Drosophila melanogaster: one gene and its partner. The gene in region 2 interacts genetically with the main gene of each other region. Each region holds a gene or a part of one and is shown on either strand. Other genes may lie near its edges.

Evidence for each region.
Region 1: of uif (region 2) and E(spl)m7-HLH, changing one suppresses a phenotype caused by changing the other (phenotypic suppression), as found in Drosophila melanogaster (one study listed by BioGRID).

The regions. Positions count from the first base shown.
Region 1 is NT_033777.3:26,034,770-26,039,732, forward strand, and holds E(spl)m7-HLH (enhancer of split m7, helix-loop-helix), read left to right. Parts: upstream 1-2,268; 5' UTR 2,269-2,393; coding exon 2,394-2,954; 3' UTR 2,955-3,250; downstream 3,251-4,963. UniProt on the Drosophila melanogaster protein: Participates in the control of cell fate choice by uncommitted neuroectodermal cells in the embryo. Transcriptional repressor. Binds DNA on N-box motifs: 5'-CACNAG-3'.
Region 2 is NT_033779.5:7,004,483-7,014,012, forward strand, and holds the start of uif (uninflatable), read right to left. Parts: upstream 5,878-9,530; 5' UTR 5,811-5,877; intron 5,428-5,810; exon of another isoform or gene 5,391-5,427; intron 4,168-5,390; exon of another isoform or gene 4,165-4,167; 5' UTR 3,918-4,164; intron 1-3,917. Other genes in the region: CG43321 (uncharacterized protein), read left to right, coding at 7,845-8,042; CG43322 (uncharacterized protein), read left to right, coding at 9,014-9,100, 9,171-9,530.

The DNA of each region.
Region 1 (4,963 bases), on a different chromosome or scaffold from region 2:
GCAGCAGCGATTATAGCGATGCATTGACAATAAGCCAACCCCGATGCGTGCCCAAATGGTTGCCCCTACTTAATAAAAAGTGGAAAAAACAACAACAAAAGCCCGGAGCTGGCCATGTGCAGCTCGAGAAATTTTCTCACAGTCGCCAGAAAAATTGTAACGGCCCGTTGTTCAGCACACTCTCAGCACGCAGTGCACTGCACACACACACTTCCTGCCGCAGCCAGCGTTCCTCAAACCGGCCACGTATATTGTTTATATAGTTAACGAATGCGATACATTTAATCTTTAGTGTGTGTCAATTTGCCGTACAGTCATTTAGTTTGCATGTCCCTCGTCGATCCATCGAACAATCATCCCTTTTTCTGGGACCTGGGTCCCACGATGATGATGTCCCGACGTGAGCAGGAATACCATACGCGTATATGTATGCCACTTAGCGATGGACGATCCCAACCGATGCCATCCGAAACGAAACCCAGGGCCCAAGTGTTCAACAGAAGCTACAATTCAGCATTCATAATTGACAAGAGCAGGAGCGAGGGAGAGGGCGATATGTGTAGGGCCCACGATGGACAAGAAAAAATTAAATAAAATAAAGGGCAGGTGGTAGTTTTTTCAGCACTACCCGTGACTCGCACTAGCAGCTCGGTCAGATTTACAGTGGTTCGAATGGAACGAAAATTGGTTGAAAACAATTTAGGGTCTTGTCACAATCTTTAGATGCTTTTAGCTACAAACTACAAAATGGTTTCTTTTTTTAGAAATTTTTTAAACATCATAACCTGACAAGAACATCTTTTCCAAATATTTCTTTATTTCACCCATCTGGGTACAGTAATCCCATACATAGATATTCTGTAAACTGCAACCTTCACGAACCTTAATGTTTTTCAAGACTCAGGTTCCCACTCACCGTCGCAGCTAACAAAATTATCCGTAGCAAGTAGAAAACACCTTTCACAAAAGTCCCTATACTCGGACTATATATGCCTAGAAAAACCTCTAGGAACAAATGTACCTTTCCAACATAGCAGATAGTTTAGTAAAAATTCTTTACAAGTAGAAACACATCGAGAAATCCATAAACACTTACTCTAAAACCTGCAAGTCGTAAAATTGCACGCATGTTCCGTTTGGTAAAACCCCAAAAATCACATTCGAAAACTCACATTCCCACGACTTTGAATAGAGGTTCTCAAATTAACCGTAGCAAGTTGAGAACAGGCAACAAAAAATCCGTAAGATACTGATTTCCAAACCTGCGAGTCCCAAAATTGCACACATCTTCGCCTTGGAAAACCCCATTTCCGACATCCCAAAACTCGCATTCCCACGATCCCTACAGAAATTGCTAAAACTTTGTCTAGCAAGTAGATAACAGTATGCGTAAATTCCGTAAACCTTAAATTTCACGTAGTTGGAAAAGCCTTGAAGAATTCATTCAAGCAAGGCACCCTCAAAATTCCCGCATGTGTTTCATCGGTTTGGCCCACTGTGCCATGTGCATAAGGGCTCGGAACTCGGAGCTCGGACTCGGGACTCGCACACGGGCTACCTCCGATTATAACTTATAACACCAACGAGCGAGAAAAATCTTGTGGGAAACTTGAGGGCAAAGTGTTTCCCACGATTCGAATGTCAGTGGAAAGGAAAACAGAGAAGCAGCATGTGCAACCACCGTCGCACCACCACCACTGCACTATCGCATCTTCATCCCCTGCCGAGACTCACTTACACCGAACACCAGTGGCCATAGCAATAGTACTGAGAACATATTTAAAGTTCTAGATAATGTTTATATTTTCAAAATCACTACTATTAAGAAGTGTGCTAATTTAATTTTTTAGGTGTAAACGTATAACATTATGTTAATTTCTTTTTGTTTAATAAAACGACATTTAAGTGCTTTAAGGGAAACCCATTTGAAGTAATTGTTAAAAACGTAACGTACTTCTTAGGTATATAACAACAAATTTGTATATTCGCTCGAAGAACTATAGCTGCTTTAAACACATTTCTCATACTATTTTTACCGCAGGTGTGTTCCAAACTTGTTTGTGGAGAAAAACCCACCACCGAAAATGCAGGCGAGAGGATCGTGTCCCAGTGACTGAGTAAAAGTAGTTTGCTCCGCAGGTGGTGGTTCTTCGGAGGCTCCGCAGCTCTCTCTTCTCTCTTTCTCCGAGCAGCGTGCGCTGAGCACGAGACGCTCTCGCGGCGGCACGTGCAGCTATAAAAGCAGCGGTAACCGGAGACGAATGCAACATTTCGAACGCAATCGTCGTGCAGTCAACATCTCAGGATAACCTCCTCCGAAAGATCGAAGAAGTTCTTCAACAAGTCGTTCTTCCATTTACCTAAACGCAACAAATAAACAAAACAAACACACAATGGCCACCAAATACGAGATGTCGAAAACCTATCAGTACCGCAAGGTGATGAAGCCCTTGCTGGAGCGGAAGCGTCGTGCCAGGATCAACAAGTGCCTGGACGAGCTCAAGGATCTGATGGCCGAGTGCGTTGCTCAGACTGGCGATGCCAAATTCGAGAAGGCCGACATCCTGGAAGTCACCGTGCAGCATCTCCGCAAGCTGAAAGAGTCTAAGAAGCATGTTCCGGCCAATCCCGAACAGAGTTTCCGTGCTGGATACATCCGGGCAGCCAACGAAGTGTCCCGCGCCCTGGCCTCCCTTCCCCGAGTGGATGTGGCTTTTGGAACCACACTGATGACCCATCTGGGCATGCGTCTCAACCAACTGGAGCAGCCCATGGAACAACCGCAAGCCGTCAACACTCCACTCAGTATCGTCTGTGGATCCAGCTCTAGCTCCAGCACCTACTCCAGTGCCAGCTCCTGCTCCTCCATCAGTCCCGTTTCCAGTGGATATGCCAGCGACAACGAGTCTCTGCTCCAGATCAGCAGCCCCGGACAGGTGTGGCGTCCCTGGTAAACAAAGATCTACTTGGAAGGACTGAATTCCCGACGGGCAATCACGCAATTGGAACCGCAGCTTTAGAAAAAATGCTTTACAATGATCCTCATTTATTTGTTACGTTACCAAGTTTTAGGTTTCTAAGTTAAGTCTGTGATAGGGCACGCTTTATTAACTTTTGTCTTAAATCAATCGAGCAGAAGTCTGTTTTTTACTCTACATATATACAAATGTTTACCAGCTAAGAGATCTCAAGAACACAATATGAAAAGATACAAAATGAAAAACTTAAATACAAATCAAAATATGAAATGAAATTATACAAGAATCTTATTATTTGGGGAATCTATTTTACAGCACAATCCAATAGGGGATATTGAACTTCAGTATTTGTCTTTAAATTCCAATAGGAAGAAGATTCCATTGAAAATATTTAATGTTGGTATGCGCGAACTTTAAGGTCCAATATAATAAAACGATCGTGTGCACTAGCTTATTTAGGACACGTGTAAAAAAATGGACTTCCCATAAATTATGTTCATTATCTTAAAGCCCATCATTATCCTAAACGAGCTATATTAATAACAAGTTTCAATAACAGTTAAACATAATAGCAAAACATGCTCCACTAATGTGCACTTAGTTGTCAAGCATGCATTTAATAATAAAAAGGAATTTAATTTCATATTTTTAATGGTCGTTATTTTTCATTTGCACGATGTGTTTACTTATATTCTATTTCAGTAACTATTTTGTCAACAGACTATGAAATGAAAGTATTTGACATCCTTTAGCACAATACAATACATTGTTATAAACCTTAAATGCGGCATTATAATTTTTCCACCAATAAAAGGTCAATAAGAATGGTCAAGAAACATACAAATGAGTTTCAGCACGCGTCTCGATTACTTATCACACATTATACCCTATTATATTTAATCCCTTAAAATTTATTCTTTTACAATTAATCAATTAAATTACATCACATATTGAGGGTTGCAATAGCATTACGTAAAATCATAGGTAAGTGTATTCAATTCCAAATTCATACCACATTATTAACCTCTGACACCCAAAATACTATAAGAAGTGAGAGTATCCCTCCCCATTACAATAATCAATGACGTTGTTTTCCACCCATAAAATGTCAATATTAAGAACCCTCAAGATTTGTAAGGGAGATATACAAATCCATCTCAATTATTAAGTGAGGAAGTAGCATACCCTAGGCGGTTGCAAGGGAGGGACACAAATCCCATAGGTAGGCATCGATGTCAGAGGTCGATTAGTTTCCTAATAGAAACAGAGTTTATAAAAGTTAACTCGAAAGTGAAATTTACTCAATGGAATTCTAATACACCATACTTGCATGCGAAACCCAAGATTCCGAAACCAAAAGCACTTAATATTAGCTAATTAAAAATGGGTTTAGAAAGATACGCCAGACATTATAAGTTCCTATTAACTAAATTCAAAGAAAACTTTTGTATCCTATGATTACTTTAACAATCTTATTAGGATGAGCCACACATTGAACAAACCACATTTACCATAAGACAAGATATTTGAAAAGTGCACATCAATTAACCGGTGAAAAATTACTAATTACCAATTAGGGGGTTGCAGGAAGTTAACTATGTGCATCCCATAGGTAGACATTCCGGCACAAGGCCCACCTCACCTCAGCCTGGGCATTGAGTACTCAACCTCGGCCACGAGTGTGGCACGCGGGGCACACTTTCTGCGCCCGTTTGACCCACGTCCCCCTGCCAACCACCCAAAAACCCGAGATCAGACAGCCCAAACGATGGAACGATCGAACAACCAAGGCGACCCGGCACGAAGCCAATATGCCACATCCACTAATTGTGTCCAATAAACACTCGTCGACGGGGCACTGTGGGAACGGAAAGAGGAGATCTCAGAGTTCGCAGTTCGGAGGTCGGAGCAGGAGTAGGGGCTTATACAATCATCGTCTGCTGGCATTGATGAAACAATAAGCGAGTAGATGGCACGGCAGGATA
Region 2 (9,530 bases):
AGCCATTGATCTTTCGGTTCAACATAAAAATTTGTGTTTAATTTCGATGGTCAGGTAGCCGAAGCCGCAGGGAGCAGATCTTGGGGAGATCGGGGAGAAAAACCAGCTGGGCAGCTGGCCGATTGGCGGAGGGACCCAATGAACTAGTTTCGCCTTGGTATTTGGGTTACATGAAATGTTTGTGGCCAAACCAATGAGAGTTTAATGGCGTTTCTATTGGCGAAGGAAATAAAATCGTTTAATGAACTATGAAGGTTTGCTCTGTGGTTTGTTGTCCATTGGTCACCTAATGTTATAGCCAAGCAAAATTCATAAACATGTTTAGTTTTCCCATCGAGACGCTTTTTCTCGACTAAAACCAGGCAACTGAAACTTTTCACTATCCGCGTATACCGCCAACAGCAACTTCGGCAGCAAAACATTCATTTGTTTTCATGTACAGCCGAAGCCGTCGAAAGCTGTTCACAAAATGGTCAAGTGATTTCCACTGGCCAACACTTTCACAAGCTGGAAAAAAAAAGAGCGCCAAGAAGCGCTGCGGGGCTTCGAAGTGGGTGATGAGCGCAATTAATATTTAATTTGTGAATAGACAAGGAAAAGTTTGTTTTCCATTGCCGCAAGCTGATGGTTTTGTAACTGAATCCAAATGACTGAGTCCCAATGGTGAAATGGTGCAATGGGCCGCACCTCGGCAGAAAAACTCAATTAAATACACCCACCAACTTGAGTGCCAAAATGAAGTCAGCGGATTGTCAAACAGAAAGCAATGGTTGGTTTTAAATAAAAATAAAAACCTGCAAGGAATGATGGCACACCCATGATATCTTGAAGTGCTATCAAAACAGTAAATAAGTATTTAAGTCATGGGAATAAAAATAAGCAAAATATGCATGGAAACATAAACAAGTAAAGATTCCAATTTGTATCTCATATTTTTAGAACATTTATTTACTTCAAATATTTTAAAATGAATAAATATATCTTCCAATTAAGGCCAAGTCAACAGATCCTCTAGATATCTTCCCCCAGAGTATCACTATCGCACACAAAGACCCTCGCGGGCTCAGTATCAGTATCTTAATTCTGTTTTTTGGTTAGCGACTTTTTGAAACCGAAGACGTGAGCTGCGTGACTCGAAGACGCACAGCCGTCAAGAATGCAGCCAAAAAGGCAAGAGCGTCCAAGTTAAAAAAAAAACAGGTTACGAGAAGTATGCACACCGAGTCAAAAGTCAGACCAAAAGTCTGGCCAAGAGTCAGTTGGGGGGGATCATTGTGTTGGGATGGGTGTGTGTGTGTATGCGGTGTGAGGCGGTCATGTGAATTATATTTTGAAGATTCGGCAGCTTAAAAACGCAGATAGTCCGAAAGTGAATGGAGGAGGAGCTTGGGAGAATCGCAAGCGCTTAGATGGAAGTTGATAACTTGGCTGGATTACGAACGCAGCTCCGCTGGGCATTTCCACAGTTCCAGCTCACCTCACTAAGCCCGATCACCATTTTTCCATTTTGAACAATTGTCGACAATGACAGCGTCAAATGTGTTTTTGTTTTGACTCGCTTTTCCCGGCGAGTGAGCTCCACTTTTCCACACAATTCTCACAATTAAAAACATAAGAAGAAAACAGAAAACGCACACAACATGAAGCTGGCGATGGCGATGGAGTTGGAGAAATAAAGAAAATTTGTGGCAATTGTAACTAATCGACGAGCAATGGCTGATGGCGCCGAGAAAGCGCCCACCTTGGAAAACTTATGAAATTGTCAACAGCTTTTCAACATGATTAAGCTGCTTTTTGCCGCGAAGAAATAGAGAGCGCTGCAATGACCATTAATTCGCTTTTAGAATGAGTTTGGCATTTGAAGGCACTTTCACTGCCGCCGAGACGGAAGTTGAGAATCCCAATATAAACAAAAATTGAAAATCAAGATCCACAGTTTCGAAAACTTTCGTTGCCGGGAAAGAGTTGATGATTTGAAAATTATTAACCCAATCAAATGGCTATAATTATTTAATGATTTGATGGACGCCAGACATGCAGCAAATAGCCATCTCTATCTCTCTCTTTATAATAATTTACTAGCATGTCGGAAAAGATCTTGGTCCAGATCAGACCGCTGATGGATGGATCTCTCTTAAGACTAACGCCGACAACGCCCTGGCATTCCATTCTTTTAATGGCCAACTGACACTTGATATGCGGCAAGAGATTTGTCATTCATGTGAACCATGCGTAGGACCCATCAGTCCTAATAAACTAGACCCATAATACATTTCATTCCACTAATTTCAACTGACTTCTCGCACTTTCAGTAGGGATTTGAAGATGGGTCTTTACCTGGTATTGCTGTGAATTAAATTCTGGACGTACCCTTTGTTATTGCTCGTTTTTTAGGGTGTGTTTGTGTGTATCTACCTGCCGATACATTGGCATCAGCTGCCAATTATCAAACTTCGAGAAAAGGTCGAAGAATCTAATGCTGAACTCGTCATAGCCCAAATAATAGATGACTTTGTGGCGTTTCTTTCGGGGATTGTTTCCTGCGAAATGGTGGATTAGATCATACAAGTGAAACCGAAACCTTTGTTAGGTAAAAAATTAATTTGAATTAAATTTTCACGAGCAAGACTTTAAAAAAATCGGAGTCACAAAATAACTTTCCAACTCCATTCACGATTTTGTAGCAAAAGTTTTCCAGCGAAGCCCACACAAATCAAAAGACTTAGGCAACAAACTTGCATTCACTTCTCTTGCTTGCAATCCCTATTAAACTCTTAACACACATTTTAGCCACAACTTCCGCTTGTATGCTGTGAGCCAAATACCAATATACAAATTATGACTAAGCCATAGCGACTAAGGCATAAAGCACGCGCTAAAACAAGTTTTACTTGTTCCGATACCTTTTGCCAAGTTATGAAAATGACTTAAGTAGAACTCATCTCCGGAGAGAATCCCTAATCATGGCATGGCAATTTCCATAAAGCAACCAGTTTATTTATATTTGCCAAATAGCTTTGCCAAAAAAAATGAGCTACGATATAAAAAGCAAACACCGAATTTTTGTGGCTTGTTTACAAGTGTGATGAGGGCTTTTTGCATTTGTTCTGCTTTTCACTTTGGTCTGAGTGAAATTTTCTACTACTTCTATGGTTTGTTTCGGTTTCTGTTATTAAGCAACAACAACAACAGCGCGCCGAGTGCGTCTTGAAATTGAGGTTAACTGTTTGGGTAGCTCTCGCTTTTCGACTTTTCGATGGAGTTTTGGGGGTACGGGTATGGGTATGGGTATGGGTACGGGTATAGGGAAGCCGACTTGGCCTTTATTGAATGAATGTGACAACAAAGGCGAGTCAGACACGGCCGGCAGACAATCGAAGCATTTTTTAGGTTTTGTTTAATAGAAAGTAACAGAAATTGTTCTTATTGTTGTTCGGGTGTGCTACTTTTTGTGGATAAGTGGGAATCCATATGGGAGGCTTTATATGGAATACAGCATAACCACTCTCGATACGCCAATTGTTTGCTCAATCAATGGGAATCAATCAATTATTTAAACACAATTAAAACGAAGTTTCATTGCAAATCGTTGGATAAAACGAAAGCATGGCATTGTTTATGGCTTAATTTGTATGTAGACATATGCATAATTAATCGGATTTTTGCGCAATGACTGAAGCCAAAATAAGGCGTGTCTTGAGATTGGCTTTTAATTCATTTGGCTTACTGATTGATAGTTATGAGGTATTATAGAGTGATGGTATGCAATGATGTCAGCTTAAAAGCAGAAGAATATAACGTCATTGGTAGACTAATACTTATACTTAGTATTCAATCCAACCCGCATTTCCACTCTACACTTTTTACTTTGCCACTCTTTTCCGACTCATTCGCTGCCATTTCAATATGCAACTCACCTCTTATAAATGCAGCTTTAGCTGTATATAACCACTATATATGTTCGATACGTATCGTTCGCGACTGCTAGTATTCCAATTTATGTGGCATGTCAGCTGGTTATCCTTGAGGTCAACAAAAGCGACAATAACGACGGTTTCTTTCCCTTTCGCGACGACGGCGGTGTCAGTGTTTTTTATGGCAACTTATTGGTGCGGTTTTCTTTTTATTTATTTAAACTTTTAAATGTACAAGGCCAGTGTTGCACTGCTGGTAGATATTTAAGTTGATTAAAAGTTTTAAAATAAAAGCTGAGCTAAACGAAAACGCGTCACATAAATGTAATTTATGATCGGATAGCCTGACTATCTATAGTTTGTCTAATGGGGATGGGTCTGTTTAATTATGCATGCCGTGGCAGAGATCCGAAACAAGTAAGTCCAAGAATTCTCGTCTGAAGTCGCAGCACGTCTTCGAAATGTGTTGGGAACATTTTGGGATTGAGTTCACAAAAATGTTCGAAGAAATATTTATGTTAATTAGGTGAAAATCTGGTGAGGATAGTCCAAGAAGTATTCCTATTGAGATTTTGGGTCTCTACGATTGGACAACCAAACAAATGACTTAAGACACGAACTTTTTGTAAGTCAAAAATGTTGTTGGTTTCACTTTAACCCCAAAACTGCATTCTATATATTTTTTTCTGTTTAGTTTTTGTGGTTGTTTCTTTTGGCCATTGTGCAAAACACTTGTTGGCCAGTTTCTGGTAGCAGTTGTGGCTTCTTTTTCCGTAAGTTTGTTATTTCTACCCGGTTAATGGGAGCGTAAATGCGCAGCTGGCATGTGAAGTGAGTACCCGAGTGTGTTACTCCCGATGGATGGACTACTTACTCACACAAGTAGTCTAATGTCAGTTGGCAAAGTAAAGTGCAAAAGGCACAGACAAGTTAATGGACTGGTAAAAACCGAACGGCTGGCAAAGAAAACAGGGAGAACAAATTATACTAGAAGTTCAACAACTCGGCTAAAAACAACATAAAATTATTATAGCGGACTACTGCTGACTTCCTATCCTTCATTTGATAAAATAGCTAAAGAAATTCTCGCATTAATTTGTCGTATCTCTACCACTCTTGCATTTAATGTTAGTTATATATTCACTGATTTCGTAGTATTGTCCTCTGTGTTGCAGTTAATCTATTACACTTTTTTTTTTTTCAATTTAAAATTCCTCTTGTTTTTTGCTGCTTCGCATTTAATGGTCAGTTTCCTCATAGAGCACACACGATCCAAGCACGCGCCTCCATTAAAATGCACAGAAATCCTTTTTCGCTAGCCAGCGTACAACGAACACAGGCACAAAATCAAACACTTTGCTGGGCAAAACAATCGAATAAAATCCAGTTTCGAGGCAAATACATTCACAAAATGCACAAGCACTTATTGTTATAGGACACAAAGAGATCTGCAGATCCGGGGAGCGCTTACTGTACCATGTACTGTACCACACGAAGGCCAAACTCAGACTGAAACTTGTTCAGCAAATCAACGCGGTCTGCACCTGAAGTTTCAGTCCACGCACACACACATACACACACTCGTCTACACTCGCCCAAAGACCACAAGACACGACAGCAAAAATGGTAAGAAACTGGCGAAGAGCGGGCCAGAAAGCAGAAAAAAAGGTAGAGAAGAGAGGTAGAGGCGATCGGCAATAGGTAGAAACGTAAGACTGCGAGGCGAGGAAAATAAAACAGCTTAACGTGCCCGTTTTACAGATTTTCCTATGGCTCACTGTATATGTATATCTAGCCTCATCTCGCCAGACTTCTTAACGGCTTTCGTTCGCTCACACTTACTCACTCACTCACTCACTGCCGTACTGAAGAAAACCCAGTCGAATCGATACATACACTTGTCTAGAGTTCGGGTTCGCCGCAGCCTCTTAACGTCCACAACGCGCCACAGTCGAAGGCATACTGAAGCCCCGAAAAGCTTCGTATTTCTTAGGTTTTTTTCACATTTCTATGGTTATCGGTCGGCGAAAAAACAACCGGCATACCGATCGTTATTCGCCGCCGTCGAATTCGGCCGAAATGATGGCTCGGTAATCTCAGCCGGCACTGCGAATTCGCCGCACAAACGCTACCTAACCGATGTTGGCCAAATGCGTGGGCTACACCGCCTAGACGGGATTAGCTGCGGCGTCCTTGTTTCTTGGGAAATTTCGTTTAATTGCCGAGGACATGTGAAGTCGGAGGTGGGTTTTTACCCTCCCTTGATTTTGGGTTGCTTGCTGTTTTCAAACATTCGCACGCAACGGAAGCGGTGGCCGAACGAAAGACTCAAGCAACGAACTTGCTAAAAGGGTTGGCTAACAAAGTAGAGAGCACCATAAAAGTGGGATTGTTACACTTGGCCCTTGGAATCCTTTGGCACTTCTTGCTGCCTCTGTTTGGTTACACACTGCTCTCTCTTGTCCCATTATTTTTTTTATGAAGTCATAAACTGTGCAAAACGTGCGAAATGCTAAACGGAAATGGAATCTACAAATGATCAACAAAAACTACTCATTTAATAGTTAGGGTTATTGCAGGTACTTTTTCAAATCAAGATTATCTTCTCTTTTAAATAACTTCTAAAATTTCTCCCGCAAGTTATCCTTTTTTGTGTGTATAGTTTTCAAAGTGCTTCAAGGATATTCATTGTTTTTAGTATCGATGGCCATTAGAAGATCTTATGCCTTTTTATATTTTGTTCGTATATGTAACCTTACGTCACATCCGTCGCTAAAAGGAATTTCGCACTCGTTTCTTAGGAATTCTATAGAATTGCGCACAACAATTACTATTTATGGTGGGATTTCCCAACCCGAAGGATTTCTATTAAGGAACACTTTATCTCTGTGTGGATGAAGAGTCCAAAAAGGCAAATTGAAGGGGCTTAAGAAAAATTTTGATAACAGTGAGAAACCATCAATGAAAAGTCAGCTGGGATTCTTAGACAAAAAATCAATTCTATATTTGTGGTATGTAAATGATTATTCAATGTTAACTCAATCTTAACTAAATACCATTGTTTGCACTTGGACCTGGTTAAAACCAATTAACTTAGCCGATGAGAATAGCCGAATTTAGAGTTAATTAATTTTAGTTTATCATTCCTTTAACAAGAATGATTTATTAAGCTTTTCACTTCCTTTCTTTTCAAATTAAAAATAAATGCTTGTAAACAGATAAAACGAAAATGATGATAAATAATGCACTGCTTCCAGTAGAAATATAAAGCAGATAAATCGATCCAATTTACACATCCACTGGAATAAAACAATTTAATTATAGGGTACACGCGATCATTAGACTCCCATCTATCCATTTTCGAATAAGTTTTTACTTCCTTCTCAAAAACAGGTCATGATTATTATTTCGGTGCAATTAAAATGTGTCTTGACTTCTTAGGAAGTAGAAAAGGAAATTTAGTTTTCCTAATGCTAAAGCATTAGTTAAGGGAATATGAATAAAGGGAACTATCTAATTACATTTAAAACTTGTTTAGTTTTACAATTCCTTTTGAAAACACAAATTCTTTCCAAATGACACCTTTTATTCTACGCTCCGTTAATCAACAAACAAACACAACACTGCTGCAGGTCGAATATTAAAATAAAAGGCAATACCCTTCCTTAGACGGAAATGTAGACAATTGCAAGCCAATTGAAGAGGGACGATCAGACGGTTGACAAAATCAGTCGTTTGAGCCAGCAGAACGGAAGTTCCATATAGGGCGCACACTCAAATATTCCGATGAGGGTTTTGGATCCGCGTTTAGGTTCTGGGGCGTGCCTGTCCCAATTTGGCCGGAGAAAGTCTTGAAATTTCTATCAGAATAATGTCGTATTCCATTTCCGAACACACACTAAAATCAGTTACCGAAATAAAAACACAAAAATGCCATTTCGTGGAGACAACTTCAAGGACTTTAAAGAAATAAATAAAATTCGAAAGGAGAACAATAAATACAAGTACATCGCTGTTTTCATCACAGTTATACCCGGCATTATATTGGGCGGATTTATGGGCAAGAAATTGGCCCAATTCCTCGAAGTATTTGATCTTTATGCGCCCGATGTCTCGGAAGATGATTAATATAACAACCATGGCGCATATGGAACTTCTACATGGTGAACCAAATGAATTTGGAGCAAACTTGTGCATATCCTGTTTGGATATATGCTAATGTGCCAATCCAAACAGGCCAAACGGGATGCTAGGAAAGAAAACTCAACGCAAACAACTGCCCAGACCGGTAACCAAATTCAAAGCAGGGTAATAAGTGCACAGATCAATTGAATCATAATTAGTGCAAAGAGCTCAAAATCAAACAAGTTTTTAACAATAAATGTGCCTTTTCATTCATGTATTTAGAATGGTTTCTTTCTAGGGAAGGTGTCCATTTCATATTAAGCATCTTACCCAACGTCAGCTTTATATTTTATAATTCAAGATTTTTTAGTGTAGGTCGCGCAATTAAATAATTTTTAATTATGACACAATTACCTAGAACAAACGCGAGTTTCCAGTCTATGTAGAGCATGAATTGTAGTTTGAATTGCAGATGAGCGTTGCTCGCCCGCAGATTTGGTCATCGCCAGGCTTTAATTGCAACTAGTAAGTGTGGAAATTTGCTTCTTTAGATTTGGGTTAGACTTTCATTTAGAACAAGCACGCATACATTTAACAAATTTCGTATACTAACATGCTAAATATGTGCACACATTTATCAGTACTCGTACACCTAGCTTATATTTTTATTTTGCCATTCTTACTTTTAAATATTTCTTGGTTCTCAAATATTATGATCTCAAAAAACATAACGTTTGGCATAATTCAAATAATTAAATTTGATGCATCCCTGGAGTGACTATAACGGCTAAAATACTAAAAATGTCTTGCAGTATTTTTATACTACACCTACACCTACAAAACAAAACAACTATTATCAACAGCTGATCGCACGAAAAACATAAACAAATGGTTTAGGTTGTAGAATTTCCTTTAATGTCAGACAGCGTAGCTCGAAAATTGTTTAGAAAATAACTCCATAAAGTGTAGTAAAAATGTGGTTGGCTGGGAATCTGTTCAAAGGATCCGTAGCAATCAGATTCGGTCGCTTGCTGCATCTCAAGCGCAAGGAGGTTTATATGGTGAGTACAAGTTGTCTCAAGATTTCTAGCATTTCGAACCATTATGCAATATTGCACCTGCTATCTTTAGGAATGCTTCCGCATCCTGGGCGTTCACGAATCAGCTGATCAGAATACGGTACGCCACGCCTACTTGGATCTGGTGAAACGGGTGCATCCCGATTCGGGAACGGAGGAGGCCAGTGCCGAACGCTTCCAGCAGGTGGACGAGGCTTTCCGTGTGCTGCAGGAAAAGTTCGCCAAGGGAAGGCGAAACATTCAGGAGGACGAGGAGGGGGCCATGGAGTTTGACATCAAGCATACGGCGCCGCAGCACCGGCAATATCTGTCCAACGAGGGCATCGGAGTGGGAACTCCATTTCAGCGGCAAAAGCAGTACCAGCAGGTGCGCGCCATGAAGGCTCAGGAACGCGTCCTGGAGCACCGCATC